3 linked regions of the Anolis sagrei genome follow. The protein of the gene in region 1 interacts with the protein of each later gene in a pairwise test. Links are inferred from orthologs where the notes say so. Each region holds a gene or a part of one and is shown in the gene's direction. Other genes may lie near its edges.

Evidence for each region.
Region 2: the proteins of RBFOX2 (region 1) and RNF8 interact in binary tests that used the Homo sapiens proteins (3 or more experiments, as listed by UniProt). The two-hybrid records come from large-scale screens. The link is inferred for Anolis sagrei from reciprocal best matches to the Homo sapiens genes RBFOX2 and RNF8.
Region 3: the proteins of RBFOX2 (region 1) and BOLL interact in binary tests that used the Homo sapiens proteins (3 or more experiments, as listed by UniProt). The two-hybrid records come from large-scale screens. The link is inferred for Anolis sagrei from reciprocal best matches to the Homo sapiens genes RBFOX2 and BOLL.

What each region holds. Positions count from the first base shown.
Region 1 is NC_090025.1:166,836,482-166,840,232, forward strand, and holds the start of RBFOX2 (RNA binding protein fox-1 homolog 2), read left to right. Parts: upstream 1-1,568; 5' UTR 1,569-1,956; coding exon 1,957-2,157; intron 2,158-3,751. UniProt on the Homo sapiens protein: RNA-binding protein that regulates alternative splicing events by binding to 5'-UGCAUGU-3' elements. Prevents binding of U2AF2 to the 3'-splice site.
Region 2 is NC_090021.1:47,993,856-47,997,606, reverse strand, and holds the start of RNF8 (E3 ubiquitin-protein ligase RNF8), read left to right. Parts: upstream 1-1,476; 5' UTR 1,477-1,495; coding exon 1,496-1,630; intron 1,631-3,751. UniProt on the Homo sapiens protein: E3 ubiquitin-protein ligase that plays a key role in DNA damage signaling via 2 distinct roles: by mediating the 'Lys-63'-linked ubiquitination of histones H2A and H2AX and promoting the recruitment of DNA repair proteins at double-strand breaks (DSBs) sites, and by catalyzing 'Lys-48'-linked ubiquitination to remove target proteins from DNA damage sites.
Region 3 is NC_090021.1:178,586,161-178,589,911, forward strand, and holds the start of BOLL (protein boule-like), read left to right. Parts: upstream 1-1,107; 5' UTR 1,108-1,129; coding exon 1,130-1,219; intron 1,220-3,751. UniProt on the Homo sapiens protein: Probable RNA-binding protein, which may be required during spermatogenesis. May act by binding to the 3'-UTR of mRNAs and regulating their translation.

The sequences.
Region 1 (3,751 bases):
TGTGGGAGTTGAAGTCCAAAACCCCTGGAGGGCCAAAGTTTGCCTTGTTAGGAATTGTGGGAGTTGAAGCACCACAACTGTTTGGTGTGGCTGAAAGCATTCTGGCAGAAAAAAAAACCATGGTGCCCAATTTAGACACATTGCTGGCACAATGCCTGGCAGCCAGATGACGCGCTTTCCTCCCTTCCCTCCGCCAGACTCAAACTAAGGAGAATAAACATTCCCTCCCTCCGTAGCCCCGCCCCTTCTCTCCTAAACTCTGCCATTCCCGAAGCTTTCCGAGTGAGAGAGTCTCTTTTTCGAGTGCTTTCCGGACATTGCCGAATGTCTTTTTTTTTCCCCCGAGCGCCGTCGGGACTTTCCGCCACAGGCCCCGAGCTGCTTCGGTGCTTCGGCGGGTGTCCTTTTCCCTCTCAGAGAAGCCTGGCTTAATTCTTTCCCTCCTTCGCGCCTGGGCCTCTAGTTCCCTCCCTCCGTGGCCCCGCCCCTTCTAGAGCAGTAGCCCCGCCCCTTCCTCCTCTACTCTCCCATCCCGAAGCTTGCCGAGTGAGAGGGACCCCTTTTTGAGTGCTTTCCGGACATTGCCGAAGGTCTTTTTTCCGAGCACTTTCCGCCACAGGCACCGCCCCTTCTAGGGCAGTAGCCCCGCCCCTATCCCCCGACGCCGCCATCCCGAAGCTTGCCAAGTGTGAGGGTCTCCTTTTTGAGTGCTTTCCGGACATTGCCGAAGGTCTTTTTTTCCGAGCGCCGTCGGCACTTTCCGCCACAGCCCCGAGCTGCTTCGGCGCTTTGGCAGACCTCCTTTTCCCCCTCAAAGAAAAACCTCACTCAGTTCTTTCCCTCAGCGACCTTCTTTCCCTCCCTCCGTAGCCCCGCCCCTTCTAGGGCAGTAGCCCCGCCCCTTTCCCCCCGACTTCGCCATTCCCGAGTGAGAGGGTCTCCTTTTCGAGTGCTTTCCGGAGATTACCGAGGGTCTTTTTTTCCCTCGAGTGCCGTCGGCACATTCCGCCACAGGCCCCGAACTGCTTCGCCACTTCGGCGGGCCACCTTTTCCCCCTCAAAGAAAAACCTCACTCAGTTCTTTCCCTCAGCGACCTTCTTTCCCTCCCTCCGTAGCCCCGCCCCTTCTAGGGCAGTAGCCCCGCCCCTTTCCCCCCGACTTCGCCATTCCCGAGTGAGAGGGTCTCCTTTTCGAGTGCTTTCCGGAGATTACCGAGGGTCTTTTTTTCCCTCGAGTGCCGTCGGCACATTCCGCCACAGGCCCCGAACTGCTTCGCCACTTCGGCGGGCCACCTTTTCCCCCTCAAAGAAAAACCTCACTCAGTTCTTTCCCTCAGCGACCTTCTTTCCCTCCCTCCGTTGCCCCGCCCCTTCTAGGGTAGTAGCCCCGCCCCCTTTCCCCCAACTCCGCCATCCCGAAGCTTTCTGAGAGGCTCTCCTTTTCGAGTGCTTTCCGGAAATTGCCGAGGGTCTTTTTTTTCCCCGAGCGCCGTCGGCACTTTCCGCCACAGGCTCCGAACTGCATCGGCGCTTTGGCGGGCCTCCTTTTCCCCCTCAAAGAGAAACCTCACTCAATTCTTTCCCGCCTGGGCCTTTCGTTCCCTCCCTCCGTAACCCCGCCCCTTGTAGGGCAGTAGCCCCGCCCCTTTCCCCCTGACTCCGCCATTCCCGAGTGAGAGGGTCTCCTTTTCGAGTGCTTTCCGGAGATTGCCGAGGGTCTTTTTTTTTCCCGAGCGCCCTCGGCACTTTCCGGCACAGGCCCCGAACTGCTTCGGCGCTTCGTCGGGTCTCCTTTTTTTCCCCCTAAGAGAGAAAGCAAGAGAGACAAGCCTCACTCAGTGCTTTCCCCTCAGCGAGCGACCTTCCTTCCTCCCTTCCTTCCCGCTTGGGCCTCCACCGGGAGAAGCCTTCCTTCCTCTCCTTGAGGGAAAGCGGGGCGGCCGGGCTCCGGCTCGGATGGCGGAAGGCATCCCGCACCAGCAGCTGGTGCTCGGCGGCGGCGTCCCCTCCTCCTCCTCCTCTTCCTCGGCCGCCCCTCGAGGGCTGAAGCGGGAGCCCGAGCTGGAGCAGCCGATGCCGGGCGGGGAGGGCGCCGAGGGCGGGCAGAGCAAGAGGCTGCGGACCGAGGCGGAGCCCGACGGCGGTGGCGGGATGCAGGTAGGAAACAGAGGCCCAAAAATCCCCTTCTTCTGAGGGAAAACGGATACTGCTATTGCTTCTGCTGTGAGTGGGCCTCAGAGGGCGCGAGGCCCAGCTCTCTCCTTCTGAGGTCTCTCTCTCAGTCTCATTCTGTCTTCACACCCTGGTAACACACCATGCCGCTTTTTTTTCTTTGTAGAAAATGGCGTGTCACCTACGTGTACACCGTCACGTGTGATCTTGGCACCCAGGCACGTCTCCTCATCACCCCTGTGTTGTTGTTTATGGTCGTGAGCTGCTACTTTGAGAGAGACACTGTTAAACAACGCTGTCAGTCTGATCGATGCCCTGAGCTGGACCTACACTGGCCTGCAATGCAGTTTCAGAAGGCATTGAACTGGATTTTGAGAGTCTACACTAGGCATGGGCCAACTTGGGTCCTTCAGGTGTTTTGGACTCCAACTCCCACCATTCCTCACAACCTCAGGCTGGATTTTGAGAGTCTACACTAGGCATGGGCCAACTTGGGTCCTCCATGTGTTTTGGACTCCAACTCCCACCATTCCTCACAGCCTCAGGCCCTTTCCTTTTCCCCCTCGGCCGCTTAAGCGGCCAAGGGGGAAAAGGAAGGTGCCTGAGGCTGTGAGGAATGGTGGGAGTTGGAGTCCAAAACATCTAGAGGGCCCAAGTTGGCCCATGCCTAGTCTACACTGCCGTATCATCACTCCAGTTCATCTGCATTGTGGAACTGCATCACAGGGCTGTGTAGATCGAGCCCTTGCATCTATCTTTATGTGCCTTTGACTCATCTATTGACTCAATGGTGGCAAATAGATCTCATAGTTGTCCACCCCATCCCCCCTACCAGCAGGGAATACTTAGAAGTGATTTTGTAAATTTCTTGACAGATATAATCTACGGCAGTGGTTCCCAACCTGTGGGTCCTGGGATATTTTGGCCTTCAACTCGCAGAAATCCCAACTGCTGGTAAACTGGCTGGGATTTCTGGGAGTTGTAGGCCAAAACATTTGGGGACCCACAGGTTGAGAACCACTGATCTACAGCATTGGTCATCTCTTCATTCATAGAATCATAGAGTTGGAAGAGACATTGTGGGCCGTCCAATCCAACCCTCTGCCAAGAAGCAGGAAAATTTTATTTATTTATTTCAAACATTTATACCCCGTCATTCTCTACTCCCAAGAGGGGAGTCAGGGCAGCTTACAATGACAGCAATCTGATGCCGGCAACATACAAAATATTACAATAAAACCATTAAATAATACATTAAACACATTACAATAAAACAAATAATACATTAAATACATTACAATAAAAACATTAAATAATACATTAAATTAAAAACCATTTAAAGATTATTATTAACCATATAGCCATATCCGAGTTTGATTCAGCGACCAACAGCCCAGTCCAGAGCCTCTCCATAGTCCAGTCTAAAAACATTGTAAAGCAGCATCTGCTTAAAAGTCTCCAAAAAAGGAACCTCCACCACACTCCAGGGCAGAGAGTTCCACTGCTCAACAGCTCTCACAGTTAGGAAGTTCTTCCTAATGTTAGGTTTCCTGTAGTTTGCAGCTGTTGTTCCACGTCC
Region 2 (3,751 bases), on another chromosome or scaffold:
CGGGAAGTCTGACTTGGCCACGGTGGTACACGCTCTGGTCACATCCCGCCTTGACTACTGCAACGCTCTCTACGTGGGGCTGCCCTTGAAGACGGCCCGGAAGCTTCAGCTGGTTCAGCGCGCGGCAGCCATGTTACTAACTGGAGCGGGTGGCAGGGAGCACACAACGCCCTTGTTGTCCCAGCTCCACTGGCTGCCGATTTGCTACCGGACCCAATTCAAGGTGCTGGTTCTGGCCTACAAAGCCCTAAACGGTTCCGGCCCAAAATACCTTTCGGACCGCATCTTGGCCTACGAGCCCACGAGGAACTTGAGATCATCTGGGGGGGCCCTTCTCTCGATCCCGCCTGCCTCACAGGCACGTCTGGCGGGAACGAGAGAGAGGGCCTTCTCGGTGGTGGCCCCCCGGCTGTGGAACGCTCTCCCTGCAGACATCAGACAGGCGCCCTCCCTCATGTCCTTCCGAAAAAGCCTCAAAACATGGCTGTTCGAGAAGGCATTTAATTGAGTGCTATAACAATGTGGTAAAGATGACTGGAATGGAACAAGGTATATGAGACTGGTTATGATTCCACTAAGAGACGAAGCGGATTTTTAGCGTAGTTTGTAATTGTCGTATAGTTTATATGTTGTTGTAATTAGCCTTTTGTAAATTGTCTTTATATGTATTGTACACCGCCATGAGTCGCCCTTAAGGGCTGAGAATGGCGGTTAATAAATGCATCAAATAAATAAATAAATAAATAAAGCTCATGCACTTTCAATTGAAATGCACATGGCACTGGACATAAGGTGGCTCCTTCTTTGGAGGTTTTTAAACAGAGGCTGGATGGCCATTTGTCGGGGGTGCTTTGAATGCAATATTCCTGCTTCTTGGAAGGGGGTTGGACTGGATAGCCCATGAGGTCTCTTCCAACTCTATGATTCTATGAACAGGTGCACCTACAGTTCAGAATGAAGGCCGTTTGACCCCACTTTAACTGCCATGGCTCAGTGCTTTGGAACCCTGGGATTTGTAGTTTGGTGAGGGCAGCAGCCCTCTTTGGGAGAGGAGGTTTCAAGACCTTGTAAAACTACGAAGTTTGACAAGAGAGGTAGTTGAAGACCTTGTGGTGGACCCGTGGGAGCTGTAGTTTGGGCACAGAAGGCTCAGACCTTGTGAAACTACAACTCCCACGATCCCACACCACTCTGGCATGGCAGCGGTGCCCAACTGCATCCCTTCAACAGTGTAGGTGCGCCTGAGTCAAGCATCTCACCAGGGTTGAGAAAGGTTTGTTTGTGATACAGTTGCGGTGTAACGCATCATGCACACGCAACAAGGGTGTCTGCCTCCGGTATCAATTGAGCGTGCCTGCGGCTGTCCTGTGTGAGGCGCCATCTTTAATGAGGGACACTTGAAGGCGTAACGGTACGTTGCCCGAAGCAGGGCGGGGCCTATCTATGCTTTGTTCGATTGCTTTTGCCTGCGTCGCTCTCGCGCGGGCGGCGGAAAATGGCGGCGTGTTTTGGCGCCGGCAGCAGCAGCAGCAGCACGAGTAGCGGCCTTTCGGAGGAGCCCGCTCGGCCTTGGTGCTTGAAGCGCGCGGGCCTCAGCGAGGAATGGCTACTACTGGAGAGCGGGAGCGAGGTGAGCGCGGGGCCGGAGGGGACGAGGCGGAGGGCGCGGAAAAAAGAAGGAAGGAAGGCAGTGAGAAGGGGAGAGCCAAAATCCGCCTCCCCGCCTCCTACAGGGGCTCGGACTTCAACTCCCAGAAGCCTCAGCTGCCACGGCCAATGGCCAAGGATCATGGGAGATGGAGTCCAAAGCGTCTGGAAGACCCGAGTGTGGGAAACAACTCTTTATAACCTCATAAAACAAAGCAAAAGTGGGGAAAAGAGGCATTTCTCACTTTGTTTCCAGTTTCTAGGGCGGCATTCTTGAATTTTACCTCAGGGAATACTCCTTGTACTTTTTCCCTGAGGTAACATTCATTTTCTTGAGGTAAAACAATTTCAACAGAAAGGAGGAAACCATGAAAATGACCAAAATCTGGCTACCAGTATTAAAAAAATTCTAAAATTACAACAGCAAAACAACAGAGAGGAAACAATCTTGGACGTCTAATCATCTCTCACCTCTCACTGCCAGGCCATCAAATGCTAATCAAGGTGGTCAGTTGGAACATTCACACCAAGCTCCAACAGACAAGAGTTCTTTGTCCCACCCTGGTCATTCCACAGATATATAAACCTATTTTTCTACTTCCAACAGACCCCACTACCGCTGAGGATGCTTGCCATAGATGTAGGTGAAATGTCAGGAGAGAATGCTTCTAGACCATGGCCATATAGCCCAAAAAAAACCTACAACAACCCAGTGATTCCGGCCATGAAAGCCTTCGACAATACATTAAAATTCGTACTGTTTCTCTAGAGCAGGCATGGGCAAACGTCGGCCCTCCAGGTTTTTTTGGACTTCAATTCCCATAATTCCTAGACTGTTGGGAAGTATGGGAGTTGAAGTCCAAAACACCTGGAGGGCCGAAGTTTGCCCATGCCTGCTGTAGAGGCTGTGTTAATCAGGATAGGCTAGGGATGAAATTATGATTCAATAACAGTATATAAACATGCTGCACTGTTAACCTCACAGCGACAACAAACAGTATGGTGCAAACTTTTAGTAAAGTCGTATTTTCTTATAAGTAGCTTGAGTAACAGCCTACCACAATTCAACAACAATATATATACATGCTGCACTGTTAAGCCCACAGCGACAACAAACAATGTGGTGCAAAACTTTTAGTACAGTCGTGTCTTCTTATAAGTAGCTTGTGGGACAGCCGACCATGACCGGTTTCGGCCTACCTCAGGCCTTCCTCTGGTGGACTAGGCCGAAACCGGTCGTGGTCGGCTGTCCCACAAGCTACTTATAAGAAGACACGACTGTACTAAAAGTTTTGCACCACATTGTTTGTTGTCGCTGTGGACTTAACAGTGCAGCATGTATATATATTGTTGAATTGTGGTAGGCTGTTACTCAAGCTACTTATAAGAAAATACGACTGTACTAAAAGTTTGCACCATACTGTTTGTTGTCGCTGTGAGGTTAACAGTGCAGCATGTTTATATACTGTTATTGAATTATATCATTGTTTATGTTATACAAGTGGTATTTTTGTTATATACATTTCACTCAGGAACCCATCTATATTATTGTATAGGGATGAAATTAGAAATGCCTCCCTCCCACTTTTAGATTGATTTATTATTATTATTTTAATTATACTATTATTATTATTATTAGTTTATTATGCTTGTTTATACCCCGCCCATTTTCTCCACAAAGTAGACTCAAAGTGGTTTTTATGCACAGAATAAAAGTTTAATAATAATAATAATAATAATAATAACAACTTTATTCTGGGAATTCCCGGTGGCACAGTGCATTAATCTCTTGTGCCACCAGGACTAAAGACTGATACGTCAGAGGTTCGACTCCTCTGTCAGCTCCTGCACATGTGGGGACATGAGAGAAGCCTCCCACAAGGATGGTAACACATCAAAACACCCGGGCATCCCCTTTGCAACGTCCTTGCAGATGGCCAATTCTCTCACACCAGAAGTGACTTGCAGTTTCTCAAGTCGCTCCTGACCAAAAAAAAAAACAACCCCCAAAAACTTTAGTCTTATAAACTATCGCCCCGAAGGGACTTGGGGCAGCTTACATATGGGACAGAGTATCCACAAGACATAAAAGCAAAAAACAATC
Region 3 (3,751 bases), on another chromosome or scaffold:
CTTGTGACGGTAATTTTCCTTCCTTATTTTTTAATCCATTTACCACAAATCTTCCCCATACAGCATCAAAATCGCTTTGTTTCCATATACCTTTTTTAACCTTTAATATACATGTCAATTTATCATTTATTGCTATTTTCCATGCTTCTTTATACCACTCCTCTATTTGTATATTCATTTCTTTTTTCCAATTCCTTGCTATAAGCAGTCTTGCTATAGTTAGTAAGTTTGTTATCGCTTCTTTATCCTCCTTTTTCAATTGCTTATCTTTATATATTGATAGTAAGGCTATACTAGGGCTTTTATCTAATTCTATATTCATTATAGTTTCTATTTCTCTAAATACTTTCTCCCAAAAATTATTTACATATTTACATTGCCACCACATGTGTATATATGTTCCTGGTTCTTGACACCCTCTCCAACAATTTGTTGAGTTATTTTTATAAATTTATAAATACCAAAGGGAAAAAGAAATAAAGAAGATTTTGCTATATGTAATTTATTGAAGCCTTTAATATCTTCTTCATTCACAGAGCCATTGCACAGAGGCTGCGATAAATATTTGCATCACTCTGTCTTACTAATATCTTGTTGAAGGGCTATCTGTGGGGTTACCATACTATCCAGTTGGCGAGATATTATTGGCATTCTAAGCTTGTCAGCTCATGCTCATTTGGAGCATCACCTACGAATATGCCATCCCTAAGACCGGTTATTTGTATCCTTCAGTAAACATGGTAATGACACGTGATCCTATTTTTCCCTCTTGACAGTATGGCACTATACTATGAGATATGTTCTGTTTTGTGGCTTTTGTCGTTTTCTTTTTGTTTTCATGATGTTTTATTATGAAGTTTATAGTACTAATAAAATTTACTATAAATAAAATAATGTGCACAATTATAGTAATTTACATAATATGCATATCGGGTGTCTGGGAAGGACTGGAATATGGCAACCCTACTATCTGTCAACTAAACACATATATGGAATCAGTGGTGTGTGTGTTGGCACATAGTAGAAAGTTGTTGCCAAAATGATACCCAAGAAGGGGGAGGAGGAATGCTGATGGGTGTCAGAAAACTACCCGGCACAGTCAGGCAATGGAAGTGAGGCCAAGAGCCAAATGCTGCTTTCTCCTACTCCTTTGGGGTTTGGAATAAGATACTTTCTCTGCAACCGCGCTTGGGCAGAACAGGATTCCCACTGTCTGGCGGTGAGTGAGTGACTCTCTCCCTGTACACTTTAAGGTATGGACAGATATTGGGGTTGGTAAGTAGAAGTAATCTACGCTCTCGAAAGTTTAGTGTTCTTGTTGTAGGACAAGTTTCTCTGCATGAATGACAGCAACAGCAGGGATAAGGCTGCAGTGTCGAGAGAGTCTTCTTTCCCAAGTATGTCCAATAAACACATATTTCTTTCCCAAGTATATCAAATAAACACATATTTCACTGCCGCCAGAGGTCAAAGTTGCATGTTATCTAATGCAAGGATTGTCTAGCCTTGGAAGAAAAGATGTGATGGCGCATTTAACTAACAAGTAGGAGGAAACTTTAGGGAAGTGCCATGAATTGCAGAAGCGGGCAAAGCATACTTTTAGGAACAGACTGTATCATGGCCAGGCAGAGATTTTGGCATGGTAGAAAGTGGAGAAAAAATATTGGGATAAAATAAATGGCGAGATGCACTGAGGGCCCTTCCACACAGCCAAATAACCCAGAAAATTCCGCAAGATCTGCTTTGAACTGGGTTATCTGAGTCCATACTGCCATATATTCCAGTTCAAAGCAGATAATGTGGGATTTTATTCTGCTGTGTGGAAGGAAGCTGAGAAAAAAAGTTAATATTAATGGTTTAAACTACATGATTTGTTGTTACGCACCTTCAAGTTGTTTGTGACATATGCTGTCCCTAATGTGAACATATCACGGGTTTTCTGAAGCTGAGAGAGTGTGACTTGCTCAAGGTCACCCAGTGGGTTTCCATAGTCAAGTGAGTCATTGTCCAACAACAACAACAACAACTTTATTTATACCCCACCACCATTTTCCCAAGGGGACTCAGGGCGGCATAATAATAATAATAATAATAATAATAATAATAATAATAATAATAATAATAAACTTTGTTTGTACCCCGCCACCATCTCCCCAAAGGGGACTCGGAGCGGCTTACATGGGGCCAAGCCCGAACAAGAATTACAATATAACAATACAAATTGCAATAAAATAAACAACATAACATTAAAATATAAAACATCAAAGCATATAAAACAATATACACAAAACACAGGAACGAAGCATAATGAGAGAAAGACAAAGCTTACATGAGGCCAAGCCCAACAACACATCAGTGAAGCAACAGAGCAATAAGCAAATAAAACAATACAATTAATATAACTCACATATAGGCAATAACACACAAAAATGTAAAAAAAATTAAAAATCTATGGCCGGGCCAGATGGAATAGTTTAAAATTTTAAAATATATACTGGGCGCTTTTGAGGACATTTTGCAAGGAATTGGTCAGAGCAGGGCATTGTTTCCTTTATTCAGGGAAGGCACGCTGGAACAGCCATGTTTTCAAGCTCCTCCTAAAGACTGCCAATGTGAGGGCTTGCCTGATATCCTTGGGGAGTGAGTTCCAGTTGAGGGCCACCATAGAGAAGGCCCTCTTCACTTGTCCCCACCAATCGCTCCTGCAAAGGGGGCAGGAGCGAGAGCAGGTCCTCTCAACACTCAAACTTTGCATCAAGCTGGGTCTAAACTGCAAGGCATAGAGTATGAAAATGCATAATTGTTTACACCTTATACTTTTTCTTATTTTCCAATGTGTGTGCCTTGTTTTTCAAATGTAAGATTACTCCCTCTAGAAAAGCCCATAATGAGTGAACATCTTTGAATGTATTCTGCAGCTGTAATGAGCGAAGAAGAGGAAAAGTAAATCTAGTTTTGTAACTATAGCCATGTTTGCTAATTTGCTGGACCAATCTGTAAATATCACAGTACAGCGGTTATCATACCTGTGAAATTGGGAGTGGGGAACGAATACGTTTTGCCATTTAAGGCACTCAAATACATATTACCAAACTGGCAAATAATTTTGCTTAGCCAAATCGAAGTGGTCTTGAACTTTGTGTGTTTTCACATGATTTCACATATACATTCCCAAAAAGACTTTATTTCATAAAGCCGATATCATAATGTTGCAAAATACAAATGTTTATGGTACAATACACTGCAGATCGAGTATCCCTTATCCAAAATGTTTTGAATCGGAGAAATTTTGGACGTTTTTCCTGATTTTGGAATACTTGCCTTTGAATAGTGAGATACCTTGGAGATGGGGGCCCAAATCTAAATTCAGAATTTGAATTCTGTTTCATCTTATACACATAGCCTGAAGGAAATTTCATATACTATATTTTAAATAATTTTGTGCATGAAACAAAGTTTGTGTACCTTTGAATCACCAGAAAGCAAAAGTGCCACCTATGTGGACAATTTTGGATTTGCAACATTTGGGAATACCTGGTAAGGGATGTCCAACCTGTATTTATTTTTAATTTTTGCTGCTACCAACAGCTTTCATCCTGAAATTCATCATCATCATCGTCGTCATCGTCATCATCATCATAAAAACATGTCCATCAAAGGGGAAAGTATTTTGAATGAGTTTAGGGAGAAAAAGATCCTTAAGAAACCAGCAATTTTCAAATCTAGATCTCTATAAAATTGGTATGAAATA